4 linked regions of the Arabidopsis thaliana genome follow. The protein of the gene in region 2 purifies or fractionates together with the protein of the main gene of each other region. This does not show direct contact. Each region holds a gene or a part of one and is shown on either strand. Other genes may lie near its edges. The genes, in order: EXLA1, CYCB2;2, GR-RBP2 and AT4G38900.

Region 1 (4,000 bases), on a different chromosome or scaffold from region 2:
ATTGACACGTCATCGATCCCGCTTCATAAGTTTATAAACCGTCGATTAAAAACAATTTCAACGGTTGCGATCTCCCATCTCATCGATCCTCGTCAACATCTAATAACCAATCATATCAATTATTCTAACTACTATAAAATCAAAACTCGTCTTCATCAAATTAGATATCAAAATCACTCAGATCTGTGCTTCTTCTTCTTCACCCAGAAAAGTAAAACAAAAGTCAAAACAATGGCGCCGAGAGCAGAGAAGAAGCCCGCGGAGAAGAAACCAGCCGCCGAGAAACCAGTAGAGGAGAAATCAAAAGCCGAGAAAGCTCCGGCGGAGAAGAAACCAAAAGCCGGCAAGAAACTCCCGAAGGAAGCCGGGGCCGGCGGCGATAAGAAGAAGAAGATGAAGAAGAAGAGTGTGGAAACTTACAAGATCTACATCTTCAAGGTTCTGAAACAAGTTCATCCAGATATTGGTATTTCAAGCAAGGCTATGGGTATTATGAACAGTTTCATCAACGACATCTTCGAGAAATTGGCATCGGAATCTTCAAAGCTCGCTAGGTATAACAAGAAGCCGACGATTACTTCTCGGGAGATTCAGACTGCTGTTAGACTCGTTCTTCCTGGTGAGCTCGCTAAACACGCTGTTTCTGAAGGAACCAAGGCTGTTACCAAATTCACAAGCTCTTGAATTAGTAAATTAGGGTTTGTATACTCTGAATTTGATTCTGATGTTGTCATAACTTGTGTTAGGATTTCTCTTTCGTTTTATTAAGCTTTAATTATCATTCTCCGTTGTAAAGTAATCTTATGAATCTGTCTTCGAATCAAAAGTTCTGGTTGTTAATGGCTCAATGTTGTTCTCTTGTTTAATCAATGTAGAATCATGAGAATCATTAGATTAAGCATTCTTTAACTATGTTCATTAATAACCTCTGTCACACATTATATATAAACCTATGAAAGATGTTTGTTTGTGTGCCACTAAATAACTTAGTTCCAGATGTGAGCATCGCAAGGATCACAACCTTCTTGAGCAATGTCAGTGATTTGAACACCGGCGTCGTAAATTTTCCCAGCTTCCCAATTGGATGGAAGAACACTCTGTGACCAAATCATTTTACCGTCGTATCCACCGGTTACTACGAACCTGAACTGGATAGCTCCGGTGGGTACTTTGTCAGTTACCCAAACAGCTCCGTGGCTTCTTGTCATGTAACCCCAATTTGGCGATGAACCGACTTGAGCAATGTCGATGGATACTACTTCTGTTTGACCTCCTTGGTATAAAAGCTTTATCTCTAAGTAGTTTGGTTTCTTGCTTGCTTCTTCTACTCTCACGTTCATGTTCTTGTTGCCGTAATCGCAAGGAACTCTGTTTTTTTTTTTGATGACCAAGTTAATATCGTGTGATTAAGAAAACCAAAGAGTTTAGGTGTTTTGAGAATCGAACCTTTGGTATTCGATGTCGACAATGCCTTGTTTGAGAAGGTCTTTGTCAGCACCAACAATAGGTTTAGCCATAGCTCTAAAAGCTCTGCTACTAAGGACAAGATCGGTTTGGTTACTCTTGTTTAAGTCTGTGATCATCACAATGGTTCCTTTAGTGCTACACAGCTTAGGGTTCTTGCATCTGACTTGAAAGCAAGCTCCACAGCCAGCACCGTCTTTGTAGATAGAAGGGATAGCTGCAGCGATATGTCCGGCGAAGAAACTCGTAGCCATAGAGCCATAAGCACAAGCTCCAGCTGCAAAAAACACATAAACAAGACATGAGAAAAGAAACATACAGATAGTTAAAAAAGAAGTAGTTAAAATGTTTACAAGAGAGAGCAGAGGCAGAGGAGAAATAAGCTGCTTTAGAACGGTGAAGACATCGATCACAAGCGTTAACGGATGAAGAGAAGAGGAAGATGACTACGATGAGGAAGAGAAAGCTTCCCATTTTTTGTTTACTTGAAGAAGCAATAATATCTTTATGATCAAATAAGAGAGAGAGATATGTGAATTTACATGTAAAGAGAAGAGAGGACAAAGAATGGATTATATAGAGACTATAGAGAGGTTGATGCCAGCTCATCATCTCAATATCTAACACACACTGTCACGTCATAGCTGGTATGTGTGTGTGTGTATCTTCCCAATTACGCGTTTTATACATATATGTTAAAATGACATCTTTGATTAAATCATTAGTCCAAAGTAAAAAGAAGAAGTGTGAAAGAGAGAAGATAGTTTTACCAATATGAGTCATGGGATGATGTGGCGTTACACCGACTCTTTTCTTTGCTTTGTTCATGACGGTCTTCTCTTTAGGTAAGGGACAAAACATTTGTTAGAGTGTCGAAACTAATTAATAAACGAAATAACCCATATTTGTTCTTTTTTAAAACCTAACCAATAATAATACATATATTTAAAAAATTTGGGATAGATTTTTTTTTTAATTTGTGCCAACTAAAACATATAAAAGAAAAATATTAGTGAGAGTTATCGGATTTTAATTGATTTAAAAATCTAAACATAATCATGTGTTATCATAACGTTGATACCAAAGTTTTTAAAAATAAAATCGTGTTTTTATTCGCTTAATACTTTTGAAATATGGTATTCCTCGTTTATTGATTTTATTACATTTTGATAAAGATTTGATTTTAACAGATTTCAAAAATCCTTGCATTTTTATTATAAAATCAGTAAGTGTATCTATAAACACGTCTTACCATATCAAGTTAAGAATGAATTTTAATAATAGAGACAAACCTGAAAAACGGGATTGCTTTGGGAAGTAGGGGAAAGATAAGAACAAATTCCAAAACCAATTTCACTTTCTTTCTATCTTTCTCTTTTTGCCTAAACCCTTTTCATCACTTCGTCTATAGACTCTACACACGTCTTTGTATCGTTCGTTAATTAAAATGAAAAATCTACCCAAGTTTTTTTTCCCTAGGGATTAGCTAGGATTTAGTTCATAACAACTCATTTCCACTAACAAACCAGCTTATAAAAATGAAAGTCTACACATTTAATAATTAGATGTAGAGCATTAGGGCTAAGTGATTTATCACTAAACTCTATCGATACATGTGTTAGTATTAATTCGGACATGTCAAAAGTTTGTATGTTAGATTTTGTTGATTTTGAGTTATTGAAATCTTCAAAATATTCAAAGATTGGTACCTTAAAACATCCATGTGAGAACGACTCATACGGCATTGATTACTACATGTGAAGATATCTTCATAATACTCCCCTCTATATCTCTTTTTTTTCATTGTCGGGATATACAATATATAAGTTTTTTTTGTGTGTAAGATTTCTTTATCAACCACTGACTTTTATTAATGATGCATATCGAAAATTAAGGCTAATGGGATTTGGTATAGGCTAATGTCTAGTAACAAGAAGAGTATATTTTTTTTAGTGGTGCGGGCTTTAAAGGAGTCCAGTGAGGTGAGTATTGTTTAAGTGAGTCCATCGTGTAGTTGGGTTCATTCAAGCCACTTCAAATGACATTAGAAATGTTTTATTTTCAAAATAGTTGCACTTATATTGCAGCGGTTGCATTGCTTGACATACTAAAAAACTTGAAACCTATAGGATAGATGTATATATCACCAGCTTTAACTTTAGAAATTTCACTGAAGAGATGCTTAAGACTTTATAGATGAGAATGAGACATTATCTTTGATTGATTTCCATTTAGTTAAATAGTTATTTGTGAGGGGATTTTCTAGCTAATTATAAATCACAACATATGTAAATGTATCAAGATGGATAAAATATTGAAATGTACAGTACGAAAATCTCAAGATAACTGCGAATATAACAATGATTCAAGTACTAACTTAAGCCTGCGATTTTTAGATTTCAGATTCAATCAAATCTCTACGTTCAACGCATATTTGAACCGGAAATTTATCAAAAAAAAATCAAAATTAATAAATGGCTTCGCCCGGGTTCGAACCGGAGACCTTCAGTGTGTTAGACTGACGTGATAACCAACT
Region 2 (4,953 bases):
ACAAAACGGAATATTCCTGAGGAATCTCGAGAAGCTGACGAAGATCCGATTCAGCTTTTTGTATAATCGAGAGAAACTCTTTGCCTCTGTGACTCATCTCCATCACACTCATGCCAGATCCACGCCAGTTGTATAGATCCGCCTGAGCTTTTAGGAGAACGTTCTCAGGCAAAGTGGCTGGACCCGCCGCGAAGTTGAAGACACGTTCTTGGGATCCGACGGAGCCGGATCTAACTCCATCTTGAACTTGAGTCGTTGAAGCGACGCATCTAACAGCGACGGGCTTGGTTTTGCTGACGAAGTTGACGGTGTTTGGTTTGCTGAGGTGAAGAAAGGATTGAGATGATGATTTGGGTTTCAAAGCAGGAATCTGAGTGTTGTTGCTTCCGACAAGGAAAGAGTTCGTCGTAGCCGCCATGATTGTTGTGAGATTCTCCGAGTTTATTTTTGTTTGTTGCCCTTTTCGCTTTTACTTAGACAAAAGATCTGAGAAAGAGTTGGTGGGAGATATATAAATGTAGCTTGAAAACGACAGCGTTTGTGTTAGGTGGTACTAGTTTTGTCTGCGGTGTTAGTATAGTTAAGACTCATTTCCAATGTGTTTTATTTAAAGTTGTAGAAGAAAAAGAGTTCAAATCAAAACTCTCATCCTTATATCATACATATTCTATGAATCTGTAACTATTGACAAAAAATATGATTGGTATAAGAGAATTTTATTGCTGAGATATCAATAAAAGAAAGACTTGTTACAGATCAAATCAGAGGAATGTTTTGAACTTATTTCGTTTGTAATTAAAAATTGAGAGGGAAAATGTTAGCAGCGAGCTATACACAAACTACTATTTTCCACTCTTTAGTGAGAATCTGACACAAGAAAGTGTGCAGCTTCATACTTTGTTGCTATGTATCCGAATTTGGAGGAGCTGTATTTTCTATGTACTCCTGTTAGTTTATCAGTCCCAGCTTTCTGATGTAGTCTCACCATTCTTCTACAACATTCTCTGTAAAACAAACCCATATTAGTTACAAAGATGAGTCTTTATAGGTGCTAATGGGTAAAAGAGACTTACAGGAGTTGATTCTCAGAGTAGTGACAATGGAATTCACAAGTGCTGTTCCATTCACTGAAGCCATGGATTGTACATTGAGCTGTGTACACGGCAGTGGCGGCGAGTAACGATGGTGGATACCGAACCATTTCGTAGTCCACAAGAGCAAGCTCAATCAAGAACGACGCCAAGATCTCAAGCTGTTTCAATAACAAGATTAGTTTGTAATTCACAATCCATTTATATTATTGTGTACATTGATAGATTTGTTTCTTTACCTTCTTGTCTGATTGAGCTGCCTTGAGGAACCTCTTCAAGAAAGGGTATTGCGTTGGTAACGACATATTGAATTGCAAAGTACTAAGCATAATCTTCTCCTGCACACAAAGATTATATTATTGAAATCAGATCAAATGTATAATCTTTTTACCGAGTTTTTGGAAAGAAACAATCTTATTTTACCATTTCTAAAACATCGGTCCTCGTATAAGCTTTGTCCGAAATGACTACCAAATCTTCAACAATAGGTACTGAAACCTCTTCGTACTTGCAAGCTAAGAGCAATGCAACTAAACCAACAAGCTGAAGCTTCTTTCTTGCAACAGCTTGCTTGGACAAGAATCTATCTATCAGATTGACTGTTAGAAACAATGTCTCGTTCATCAGCTCAAACTTATCATGTACCTGAAACATCCAAGAAGCTTCTTAATTAGCCTCTATATATACAATAATCCATTACCATTGAGAGGTGCTTGAATATACCTCGATGAGCCAGTCAATAAGTATTGCTCTCATTTTGTCAGATATATCAAACTGTTGCGCCATGTAATCTAGAGGAACACAGCTAAATCTCTGCAGATTACCAAAATCCATGGAAAATTGTCTCAGTCCGAATTCAAAATCTTATGGTTTTGGTTCAGAGACATATTAAGAAACCGTACCTCGGTTTTACGGTAGAAATCGTAAAGATCTTGGACGTATTCAACAGCTGCAAGAGAGTTGTTTGCATCGTATTCGTCTATATCCAAAACTGGTTCTTCTTGTTCTTCTTCCATATCCTCCATCTCAACTTCTTCCTCCTGTCCAAATCAAAAAACTTTCTTTAGAATTCACATTAAAAGAAAAAAGCTAAAGATCTTTTGAAAAGTGATTGTTAATTACCATTGGATCAAATTCAATGTATGGTTCCTCCAATGACATTGGCATAGGTTGGTCCAATGTAACTTCTTCATTCTTCTCCTCTTCTTCATCAATGAATATGCAATCACCAAACTCGTTTCCACTTGGTTTCAGCTTCTTAGTCTCTTCCTGAGATCTGCAGAAATTCAAATAACATCAGATCTCTCTTTCTCAGCAAAAGAAACGTTTTTGAAAGCTTTAAACTTTATTAACCTTGAAATTGACGGATGCAATGAATCAAGCTTCTTCTTGTCACAGCTTTCTTGTTTTCTCCTATTGAAGAAAATAATCATCAAAATCCCAAAACCAAGAATCAAAGAGACAAACTTTAGGATTCGAGAGAGTTAAGTATATTACTGAGATAAGCCTCTTCTCTTGTTAACAACACAAGGATAAGCTTTTGCACCAACGAGATTGTGATTAATCACACCCAATGCTCTCCTGTTCTGTCTCTTCATCTCTACACCGAATTTTCTGCTTCTCTTATCATCATCTGACAAAACCCAGAAACAAAACAACATCAGACTCTCTGTTCGTCAGACCTATAATTCTCAGATTTTTCAAAGGCGTTTTACTACTACTACCTTGAAGAATCTCTGTAATGGGTTTGACAACGAGATTACGATTGTTCTCCTCTGGATTAACCATTGTTTATTTTACTCGATTTGATAGTGCTCCTGGAGAAGAATCTAGAAGAAGAAGAAGAGCATCAAACGAAGAAGGATCTCTCTTCTCTCTGTGACTCTGTGTATACGTCTGATGCAATTGAATGAATCAGTAGGAGTCAGAGAAGGGGATGAAATAAGCGAGAGAGAGAAATTAAATCAAATCAATTAAAATTAAAGTTGCTACCTTTTTTTATTTTATTTTTTTTTATTATTGAAGGAAATAGCAACGGCTAGGTGATTAAGATGACCGTTGGATCATGAAGGAAACGATTTGTTTCTAAGTCTGTCTAAACCCAACGGTAACTTTTTTGGCCATGTGGTGTGTGTGGTGGCTCTCTCTTTCTCATTTCAAATTTATTATTCCTTTTTTGTGTTTTTTTTGTTGCCTTTTTCAGACAAAGAAGGCTCGTTACCACTAGCCAGAGCCTCCGTAAGGCGCGGCTCTAAGATCTTAAAGTCAACATATTGATTCTTTAATCTTAATCTTAGCTTATTAATCTGTGTTTTACTACAGAGCTAAGAATTGCTCTCTTTCCTAAGAATTATTGTTACCGAGAATTATGCTGACTCTGTAGTAAGTGTTCTTGCCATTTCTTTTTTTTTGGTCAAGCTTTTTAAAAATATTTAATTTAGAGAATATCAAAAATTAGGCTAGATGATTCTGGTCATAGTTATTGTAATTGAATTTCCTTAGAATGGTCAAAAGGTGATTGTGTTTCTAATTTCTTATTCAAATATGTGAAATATTTTAGATAACTTTTTATATCTGCATTTTTAGAAAACTGTTAAACGTTTAGTTAGAGTCTAGTGTGTAGATATTATTCAAAATAATATTTAAGACAGTTGCGGCTTCGCTATATCATATATCACACATCAATGGTTACATTAGTTTTTTTTGGTGTTGCAATTTGTTGTATTTGTGATTTATTACATAGCTTCAAGAGCTTCCTTCTGACATTGAAAACTATGTTTACCGGTATACATCAATGTTTAAATTTTAAATAGTAAAAACATATAGAATAAATAAAGAATGGCTAATAAAAATGATAATGTTTCCACCCAAAAAAAAAAAATGATAATGTTATTGTAATAATAAATAAAGAAAAAATATGTCAAAACAAAAGTTTACAAGTCACGTCATTGTCGGATGTCACATGCATAATAGTATTAGTGCAGTTGCAACGACTCTTGCAATCTCGATGACCAAAAACGCACGAGAAACGATTACAAACAGAAAACAAGAAAAACTCTTGAACCAACCTACCAAGTACGAATAACTTATGGGCTAGTAATGGGCTTTATACGATATTAAGCCCAAATTTACGTAATATCAGAGTTTAGGACGGACCAATCACAAACGACGGATGCAAATCTTCAAACGAAAAGGCGGGAGAGGAATTAACTGTCATAACCGCCATGGTTCAGAGAAAACTTTATATAAGGGCTAATTCAATGTCGTTTTGAAACATCAATCCCTAGACTAAAGTGCGAAAATAGTATGAGTAATCCGAACCCAGAGAAAACGAAAGTGGATGTTACTGAGGAAGAGAAAGAGGAATCTGATGAGCAATGGAGCGATGAAGAAACCAATATGAGAGAAATTGTTCTCGGCCTCCCTGCTTTGAATATCAGCAGTAGAATATTTGGAGAGAGTAGTAGTGTCGTTGAGGAAGATGCAGAAAAAGCGCGTTTGAATGAGCAAGCGGTTCTTGCGGCGGGGTTGATTTTGGCTGCGGCAGAGGAAGCGGTTATGAAAGGAATGAATGAGGGAAGTGGGAGTGGTGGGAAGAAAAAGAGTAGACCAAGGATATCTACGCAAACCGATGACGAAGGGGATGGTTTGGGTGAAGGAGAAGCGAAAAAGCCGAAGAAGAAAGCAAAGGAATTGACTCATCCACCGAAAGGACCACCGGTTTGTCATATCTGTGGAAGAGGTTTCGGTTCGTGGAAGGCAGTGTTTGGGCATATGAGGGCTCATAGAGATAGAAACTATCAAGGGTTTCTTCCTCCTCCTACATTCTCTGCGGGGGCTGAAAGGTTTGTGATTCCCGGGC
Region 3 (4,149 bases), 8.9 Mb from region 2:
TTTCAAGTCAGCACCATCATCGTCATTCATCATCAATATCACCAATACCAAAGAGTTTCACGCTCACTCTACGACCATTCAGTTCCTGGAAATTTAAAACGAAAGCAATACTAAGTCTGACCACATATAGACAGACACACAACTATTATACCACAAATAGAGCCATCCAAACCTTTCCATCCATCCCAGACACGGCTGCTTCAGCTTCGGAGTGACTGCTGTATGTGACAAATCCAAAACCCCTGGACCTATCTGTGTATCTGTCTCTCATTACAATTGCTGCACAAACAATAATAATTTTGGTGTAGTGACAACTGAGAAACTTAAACCACACTCAACAACATAAACAAGAAACTCGGAAATATTAATTGGAGGGCGATCCAAAAGGCTTTTACCATCTACTACGTTTCCGTAGCCGGAAAAGGCTTCCCTCAACATATCATCGGTAGTGGTCGGTGAGAGATCTGAAGCAATCGTAACAAAGCTTTCAAATAAATAAATAAAACTTGAGAAAACAAATTTGAAAAATGAACATCTACTAAAAGAAAGAAATAATTACTTCCGACGTAAACCCTGGTAGCCATGTTTTAAGCTGATCTTGAACAAAGACAGATGTATGTCAAAGTTAGGTTTAAGTAGACACAAAATTAGGAGTTTTGGAGGAATAGAGAATGGAGCCATGGAAAACAAGTTTAGGTGGACGATAGTATTTTAATATAGCGAATAAATCATGTGGAATTATAGAATCATTAATAGCGAATCAAATGTTGTCGCTCTCTGCTTTCATGATGTGTATCGGCTTTGACTTTGTATAAAAGTTTTCCACCTCAAATGGTTTAAACGTGAATCACGACACAAAAGATGAAACTTGAATCGAAGTTATGTATAGGACAGGAGTGAAATGGTATATAAGCACAAGTGAATGAAAGAAATGGTAAGACGTATTAGAATGCACCTAATGGGGGCAATAAAATATTAAACCGAATTGATTGGTAACCAAAAAAAGAGTAAAGAGTTTTCAGCAAATCCCATTCAGGTTTTGTACTAACATAAGATTCAATAGAAGAAACCAACTAAACAGAACCATTAACTCTTCTTCTTCACAAGCACCTCCTCTGTTTAGAAACCACCACCACCATCACCACCTCCTCCATAGCCACCACCTCCTCCTCCGTACCCACCACCACCTCCTCCGTAGCCTCCACCTCCACCACTGTATCCACCACCACCTCCATAAGCCCGTGGAGCACTTGGTCTATCATTAGCAGGATTCACTCGGATGTGACGACCATTCAGTTCCTGAAATTCCAAAACCCATAAACATTATTAAGTAAACCATTAAACAGATACAATTACCATTACAGCTATAAACTAACTGATACATTCAATACAAACCTTTCCGTCCATCTCTGATATGGCAGCAGTTGCAGCACCCTCATCATTGAAGTTGACAAATCCAAACCCCCTTGATCTTCCTGTCTCTCTATCAACGATAACTTTAGCTGCACAATTTTTCAAAAAACAAAACTTTAGTTCATCTCCACAAACTCTTACTCAATTATACCAAAAACAAGTGTAGCTTACCATCAACAACGTCACCGAAGTGAGCAAAAGCATCCCTTAAGGATGCGTCATCGGTTCCCCATGAGAGACCTAAAGCAATCAATATATAAAAAAGTCTCAGTACTAATTCAAGCAACACTAAAGTGAAGTAACTCTTCAATCTGACTCAAAAACAATAAGATTTTACCTCCGATGAAAAGCTTGGTAGACATCAACCGGAGAGATCCGAGCATAGACGTAACCGGAACATTTCCGTTAGAAGAAATGTTCTGTCTCAATAGACCACCGAGTTTGTTACAGAAAGCCATTCTACAAAGTTCCAAAAACACACAGAATCAGATCAGATCAACTGTTATAAATCAATACTAATAAAAACCCTAACTTTAAGACTAAATCATCAATTCAACGAGATGGGCTGATCCAAAACAAGTAGATCTATATTCAAAGTATACATAAGAGTAATTTTAAGCTCTAAATCCCTTACAGTCAAATTGAAACGAGAACACAAAACAGAGACACACTAGAAACGAATTCACCATGAAATTAAACAAAACAGAAACATAGTAAAGCTTAGGAGATCGAAGATGGTGAAGAAATGGTACCTGAAGAATAAAGATTCGAAATTAGGGTTTTGTGATCTGAGAAAGAGGCAGAGGAAATGTAGAATGAAGCCAAGGAGTAGGGTTTAAGGGGCTTTATATACAAAGCTCACTAAAAAATATCTCATTTTCTTTTCAGGATTTTTTTTCTCGCTAAATAATTTAATCTGGTGTGTGTACGTGTATATTTTTACTGTGTACTAAAGGGTAAAATAGTTGTACACGTAGCAGAGTCTGTGTAAATCAGTTCTTGTGGTACCAATCTTTTTGAGTGTACGATGTAGTCGGCGTAGAGGAACTAGTTTTTTTCTGATTTATCCAATTTGGTATTTTAGTTTTCCTCGCCCTATTTTATCTGATTTATATTGCTAAAAATAAGACTTTTTGTATTGGGCTTGGAAACCCATATTGATTGCTGGGCTTCAAAATCCATGTTAAACGGATAATTGTCGTTGATGGGCCATTCATTGAAAAGAAATGAATTTTCAGAAACAAAAACAAACAAAATTGTATGATTCACTAAAACTAGACTACATTTTATGAATTTCGTAATAAGTAGTGAGATATAATTCACTAAGACTAAATTTTTATTTTTAACATATAGGTTACCTTATGATTTTAATATTGAACATGATAATAAAAGTTTTCAATCTGCTTCCTAACAAAAATCTTTCGTACTTGTTATTGTTTGCTCAAAATCATAAGTTGATCGTTTTTTTGTTTGATAAACCTAAAAACTTAAATTTTCTCAACTCTCCCAACCTATAGACTTGTGTTCACATAGAAATAACATGTTAGGAAGAAAAAGATTATGCATCCTCTAACAGTTAAAATCGTCTACGAAATGTTTGTGGCAATAATTATATATATATCATTATTGTTTTTCTAGTTAGTGATGAATTTATTTTCATTTTTGCTAACTGCTTCTGAAAAAATGATGGATCGTTGTATATATTCATGTAAAACTCAAATATAGTCACAATCTTCTTAAGTTCGTCTTAACATCCATGTGTAGTGGTCCTGATTGATTTTTAATGTCTTGAATATAGCAACCTTATTCACGGTTATAGATTAATGTTCCACCAATTTCAATTCATGTGGCATCTCTTTATATATATGTTACATCCTTTTCAGTTTCTATATAATTATTTCTTGATATATTTCTTTATTCTCAATACTCATTTCAATTCATGACTAGTAAACATTAACCTTGCTACATGAAAGCTACACAAAAGGAAAAAAAAAAAACTTTGAAACTGCATAGGGTTTCTATTAGAGAATATATAGCTGGTTTGTTCTGGTTTAAATTAGTTTGGTAATAGCTTTGGTTTAGTTTGCTTGGGAGAATCTAAAATGGTATTTTTCATTCGTTTAAATAAATAAGTGTTTATGGAATACTGGAAGATCATCCCAAAGTAACACAAGCGAAGAAGAAGAAAGATAGTGAAAGTCGACCAATCCTTTCTATTTCTGAATTTTAACATTTTGGTTTTTGATGTTTGGTCATGGATTAATTCTGAGGTTTACTTCAAACAATTTCTTACGGTAGCAATAAATAAATTGTTGTGAAAAATAATTCATGATTTGTTGTTGTGTCCGTTTTCTATCGTTGCTAATTTAAATTTCAATACTGTTTTATCTCATAAACCATCCTAATAGTATTATTATCAAAGCTCTGATTCATTTTGTACAATTGAAAATATTGATGTTGATGGAAATAATCAAATTTTAAAGTGGCGACAAAACATATTAAAATGTTTGAGATGATTAACTACTCTTTTTTTTGTGTGGATAGTCTATCGAATATAAATTACTAGAGACCAACAACAATGTAATATTATAGATTATGAAAAAGTACTATACTATATAAGATTATTATTTTTTCAGTTAAGGAATAGGATAAAATAATAAGTTGAGATGACTAACACATTTGAATTATTGCCTTAGCTTAAAATCACATACTTTACCAATGGTTGTTTTGTTATGT
Region 4 (5,286 bases), 1.2 Mb from region 2:
TATTTTGTGTGTTTATATAGTCATATATAGTTCCGAACTTCAAGTAAATAAAGAAATTCGTTTGGCCAAATTTGTTGTTAAAAAACTTTTTTTTCTTTATATTAGGGTTGAACTTATTTACAGAAAAGTATATTAGGTGGATTATATTTGATTATTCAAGTTTTTTTTCGTAAGCCAAATCTGAAGAAAACAAAAGTTGCTTATCAAAGAGGCAAAGAGTATATTCGTTTTATAGGAGAATGTAATATTCCAAACTTTGGATGTGCATGGTTATGGATGTTGTAGCATTTGCATTTGCCGAGAATTATAAAGATACGTATACCAAATAAAATACATGAATTTCTCGAAAGCCAAAATAAAAATTTGCTCTAAACTCTTAATTTGTGATGCAGGCATAATATTGTTTGTGAAATTAATTCAAACGTGATCAAGACGAACACTGCCCCCACTTATATTAATCTGATTAATATGTTTGGCCCACGTTTAGATCGGTAGATCATATCCGTTGCACATACAAACTTTACATAATTACTCAATCAAACAATTTTATTTCTTAAACCACCGTGGTTTGATTTTTAAAACGTGCATTATAGTTTCGTTAATACTCCAGTATAGTGATGTTATTCGGTTCCTGTTAATTAATTGTAACACGACCATTTATGATATGACTACGACTTAATCCACGTGATTTAACACCTTAATTACGACTTTCAATTATCATTTTCACACGCTGTTCTATGTCTTCTATTAATTTCTTAAGGAACAAAAATACTAGTAGTTCATTTAAATAAGAAAATCATTGGTTATCTTTGATTATTTTGATGTCAAATCTATATTTGAAACTGAATTTTTTTACAAAAATAGAAAATTTCTTAAAACGTGCATTGTAATTTGATTTCTTTTAAAAAATTAAAATAAAAAGAATTGACGCAACAAACCGCGGGTAGTGCGACTAAACACCTAGTAAAATACTATAATCGTAGAATCAAATAATGATATGTAGATATTTACGAGAAACATGGAGGGAGGTGGTTATAAAGAGTCAATATTTGTTGTGTGGTGGGGTTCATCTAATTAAAAGCAAATGAAGTATATAATTATATTGATAGGTGAAATCTAGATCTTAGAAATTGTTTACAAAGATTGTAAACTCTGGTTACCACCGTTTAGAACATTTTTGCACCAAGCCTTGAAACGGTTGATAGATTAATCACCAAAATGAACGAACCTATCTGTCATCGTCCTTACATAAATAAACGATGAAGCACGAGATCAACACAGACGATCTCTAAAATTCGTAAACAAAGAAATTATTGGTGTAGACAAATAAGTCGGGAACAAATCATTCAATATGGCGGTCCATTACATATTATTTAAAGAAATATATAAGTAAGAGAGGCATAATTAAAGAAAATACAAAGAATGGCTTTTTACATTGTACATGACAACATAAGGAGGACAGAATCTTTCGTCTAGACAAGAATGTCAATTGTGGTCGGAATAGAATTGAATCTCAAATCCATATTCAAATCATCAAAAATAAAAAGAAACATTTTCGCTAAATGGTTTTAACTTCCATTTCGGATGACAAAGAATATTATTCCTAAAATTCATTTTGTCAAACCAGTAATATTGTGAAACTAAACAAGTTTTAGATCTTTATCCAAAAAATAACCGTATATATATACAATGTAATCATATGAATGAGGAATATATATGTTAAATTCGTATTTGATACTCAATATACACAGATTTTTACTTAAAAAAACATTTGAAATAAATGGCTAAAAAATAACAAATCCAAATTTATATAAAGTTTTGGATAGAATTGCATTAAATAGAAAATCTTGGGAGGTTGTGGTAAATTCACGCGTCTTGTTGGGTGTTTTTATATTTCTTCTTTTTCTCTTACTTCTCATGAAATCCGTGTCTTTTGTTTTTCTTTGTTACTAGTACTACTTTAGAGTTTACACTGTCTTGCTCGTGTCAAAAAAGAAAAAAAAAAGTCGTCGTCTCTATCGAGTTTTTTTTTACTATTCTCTCTCGAGAAAAAAAAAATCAAAGGGGAGAGAAAATTGCGGAGGAAAAAAGAAAAGAAAGAGAAAATGGCTCTGTGATTCTCCAATTTCTATAGAGAGAGAGAGAAGAAGAAGATTGATTAGATAAGTTTCTTAATTCAACGTTGAGAGACAGAGAGAAAAAAAAAAAAAGATTTTGTCATTCTTCAAAATACGTTCTCGCCATTTGCGCCATTGATTAATTCAAGTGCGTTGAAGTTAGAGGTAACCACCAACTTGCATTTTACTCTCCAAAGCTCTGATTTTTCTGTCAAATTCTTTTGAAAACTTTGATGCTTGTTTTCTTCTCATCATTGATTCTTTTTTGATGATAGGTTAGTTCTACACAAAGCTTGATCTTTTAGGGGTTTTCTCTAGTTATTGGAGAGTGGTGAGAATTAGAAACTGCATTATCCGATCTAAAATGGGTGATACAGAGAAGTGTAACAGTGATATGATCCAGAGACTTCATTCATCTTTCGGCACTACTTCTTCTTCCATTCCCAAAAATCCCATTTCTCAGCTCGATTTAAACCCTAATTTCATCCGCTCATCAGCTCCTCAATTCTCCAAGCCTTTCAGTGACAGTGGCAAACGAATCGGTGTTCCTCCGTCGCACCCCAACTTAATCCCACCGACTTCTCCGTTTTCTCAGATCCCGACCACCCGACAACCCGGTTCGCATAATTTTAACCCGGGAGGAGCTAATCATTCACGGTCAATGTCACAGCCCAACTCTTTCTTCTCTTTTGACTCCTTACCTCCGTTAAGCCCTTCTCCGTTTCGAGATCACGATGTTTCAATGGAGGATAGAGATTCCGGCGTGTTTAACAGCAACCATTCGTTGCCTCCATCGCCGTTCACGAGGTGTAATTCGACCTCTTCTAGCTCCTTGAGAGTCGGTGAGAGTTTACCTCCGAGAAAGTCTCATAGACGCTCCAACAGTGATATCCCCAGTGGGTTTAATTCGATGCCTTTGATCCCTCCGAGACCATTGGAGAGGTCTTTTTCTGGTGGGGAGTGTGCTGATTGGTCAAAGTCTAATCCTTTTGTGAAGAAGGAATCGAGCTGCGAAAGGGAAGGTGTCGGAGAGAGAGAAGCTATGGATGATCTCTTCTCAGCATATATGAATCTTGAAAACATTGATGTGTTGAACTCCTCTGAAGCTGATGATAGCAAGAACGGTAATGAGAATAGGGATGATATGGAGAGCAGCAGAGCAAGCGGGACCAAGACTAACGGTAGTGATACGGAAGGAGAGAGCAGCAGTGTCAATGAGAGTGCCAATAATAATATGAATTCTTCTGGTGAAAAGAGAGAGAGCGTGAAGAGAAGAGCGGCTGGAGGAGATATTGCTCCTACCACCAGACATTACAGGAGTGTTTCAGTGGACAGTTGTTTCATGGAGAAGTTGTCTTTTGGTGATGAATCTCTAAAGCCGCCTCCTTCTCCTGGATCTATGTCAAGGAAAGTTTCCCCTACCAATTCGGTTGATGGGAACTCGGGTGCTGCTTTTAGCATCGAGTTCAATAACGGTGAGTTTACTGCAGCGGAAATGAAGAAGATCATGGCAAATGATAAACTAGCAGAGATGGCCATGTCTGACCCTAAACGTGTCAAAAGGTACAAATATTGAATCTTGACTAACATTACCGGTTTATAATCAAATATTCTGATGTTTAAGGAATGATCCTCTTTTCAGAATCTTAGCGAACCGTCAATCCGCAGCACGGTCAAAGGAGAGGAAGATGCGGTACATAGTAGAATTGGAACACAAAGTGCAGACTCTTCAGACCGAGGCTACCACATTGTCTGCTCAGCTCACACTTTTGCAGGTGCGTTGTTTACAATGTTATAAAAGCGCCTAGATTGGTCAATTTTTGTTTTGTTCTAACGATCTTAGTTACTGCATTATCCAGCGCGATATGATGGGGTTGACAAATCAGAACAATGAGCTTAAGTTCCGGCTTCAAGCAATGGAGCAACAAGCGCGTCTTCGCGATGGTATACATTTCTCTTCACATTGTATCAAATTTACGATATTATTAACATGACTTTAACAAAAAATGGAACCAGATCCTATATGCTTTAAAAAAATCTCCATTTTTGCGCTTAACGAATGTGAAATGACGATTTTTTTCCCCCGCTTTGCAGCTCTGAACGAAGCACTGAATGGAGAAGTCCAGCGACTGAAACTGGCAATCGGTGAGAGCAGTCAGAACGAATCAGAGAGATCAAAGATGCAATCACTCAACGCTGAGATGTTCCAGCAACTCAACATCAGCCAGTTAAGACAGCAGCCACAACAGATGCAGCAACAGTCTCATCAGCAGAACCACCAGAATGGAACCATGGCAACAAAATCTGAATCAAATGAATAGAGCAGAGAAGTTGTTGCGGTGGATCAAAGGGTTGGAGTTTTTCAACAAGTTACATATCAAATCAAACATTATATTTCATTTATGTGCAGAGTCAGTTGAATTTACATATATATCATATAAGTCCAAGAAATTTAATTTTACAATATGTTGTTATCTTAGAAAGAAAAAATTCAATTTATAGTAGATATAGGTATGAACTATGAACACAAGTTATATGTAATGGGATTGATTGAGCTTCAGACAAAAAGATTCTCTGTTTGTTTTGTTTTTAGTTTTTAATTTAGTCTTGGATTCTGTCTCTTTTTGTTGGTTTGTTTATTTTAACATTATGGGCCGGTTTTTGGCCCATTAAACAGCATCCCAAAACATTGTTGCCTTCTTCGTCTCTCTCTGTGAATAATATCTAAAACCCTAACAAACACTATCACTCACTTCATTTTCGTGACGACGGAGCTTGACCGCTATGTCAGATGTAATAGCGGAGCACGCGGTGGATACTAGTGTTGAAGGAGATGCAAAGGCTGCGTTACCGGTTCAATCGACGAAACAGTTCTCTGTGTATGAAGCGACTTCGGAAGAGCTTATAGAACGATCAATGGCTCCTATTAAGAAGGAGTTCCTTTGTCCTCCTCCTCCAAGCCGTTCCGTGAAGCAAAATGATGCCGCCGATGTTAGGGCGCCTCAATCGGGTTTGGTTCAGGAGAAGAAATCTAAACGACAACTGAAACGGGAACGCCGCGAGGTATTGATTCGAATCACATCGGTGCTTGTATGTATAGCTTCGAATCTATCTATGTTTTAAGAACTAGTTTTTTTGGCAACTGAAACCATTGGATATGAGAGAGAGT

What was found.
Region 1: the proteins of CYCB2;2 (region 2) and EXLA1 purify together in Arabidopsis thaliana (affinity purification with mass spectrometry, with the first as the bait; one large-scale study listed by BioGRID). This does not show direct contact.
Region 3: the proteins of CYCB2;2 (region 2) and GR-RBP2 purify together in Arabidopsis thaliana (affinity purification with mass spectrometry, with the first as the bait; one large-scale study listed by BioGRID). This does not show direct contact.
Region 4: the proteins of CYCB2;2 (region 2) and AT4G38900 purify together in Arabidopsis thaliana (affinity purification with mass spectrometry, with the first as the bait; one large-scale study listed by BioGRID). This does not show direct contact.

The regions. Positions count from the first base shown.
Region 1 is NC_003074.8:16,894,176-16,898,175, reverse strand, and holds EXLA1 (expansin-like A1), read right to left. Parts: upstream 2,011-4,000; 5' UTR 1,939-2,010; coding exon 1,818-1,938; exon of another isoform or gene 1,782-1,817; coding exon of another isoform or gene 1,742-1,781; coding exon 1,447-1,741; intron 1,369-1,446; coding exon 987-1,368; 3' UTR 868-986; downstream 1-867. Other genes in the region: HTB9 (Histone superfamily protein), read left to right, coding at 232-684.
Region 2 is NC_003075.7:16,899,670-16,904,622, reverse strand, and holds CYCB2;2 (Cyclin B2;2), read right to left. Parts: upstream 3,028-4,953; 5' UTR 2,880-3,027; coding exon 2,816-2,879; intron 2,725-2,815; coding exon 2,589-2,724; intron 2,505-2,588; coding exon 2,445-2,504; intron 2,368-2,444; coding exon 2,214-2,367; intron 2,132-2,213; coding exon 1,994-2,131; intron 1,905-1,993; coding exon 1,815-1,904; intron 1,737-1,814; coding exon 1,515-1,736; intron 1,430-1,514; coding exon 1,331-1,429; intron 1,253-1,330; coding exon 1,074-1,252; coding exon of another isoform or gene 1,070-1,073; exon of another isoform or gene 1,005-1,069; coding exon 857-1,004; 3' UTR 622-856; downstream 1-621. Other genes in the region: PSAT (phosphoserine aminotransferase), read right to left, coding at 1-418; AT4G35610 (zinc finger (C2H2 type) family protein), read left to right, coding at 4,398-4,953.
Region 3 is NC_003075.7:8,019,036-8,023,184, reverse strand, and holds GR-RBP2 (glycine-rich RNA-binding protein 2), read right to left. Parts: upstream 2,473-4,149; 5' UTR 2,166-2,472; intron 1,873-2,165; 5' UTR 1,872-1,872; coding exon 1,751-1,871; intron 1,654-1,750; coding exon 1,585-1,653; intron 1,503-1,584; coding exon 1,396-1,502; intron 1,300-1,395; coding exon 1,120-1,299; 3' UTR 709-1,119; downstream 1-708. Other genes in the region: AT4G13860 (RNA-binding (RRM/RBD/RNP motifs) family protein), read right to left, coding at 23-85, 173-279, 396-464, 560-584. UniProt on the Arabidopsis thaliana protein: Promotes the cis-splicing and editing of several mitochondrial RNAs (including NAD5 transcripts). Plays a role in RNA transcription or processing during stress. Binds RNAs and DNAs sequence with a preference to single-stranded nucleic acids.
Region 4 is NC_003075.7:18,138,716-18,144,001, reverse strand, and holds AT4G38900 (Basic-leucine zipper (bZIP) transcription factor family protein), read left to right. Parts: upstream 1-2,051; 5' UTR 2,052-2,282; exon of another isoform or gene 2,283-2,392; 5' UTR 2,393-2,481; coding exon 2,482-3,680; intron 3,681-3,741; coding exon 3,742-3,892; intron 3,893-3,976; coding exon 3,977-4,061; intron 4,062-4,211; coding exon 4,212-4,438; 3' UTR 4,439-4,707; downstream 4,708-5,286. Other genes in the region: AT4G38890 (FMN-linked oxidoreductases superfamily protein), read left to right, coding at 4,902-5,180. UniProt on the Arabidopsis thaliana protein: Transcription factor that acts as a repressor of reproductive development, meristem size and plant growth. Regulates meristem size, cell size and cell number during plant development.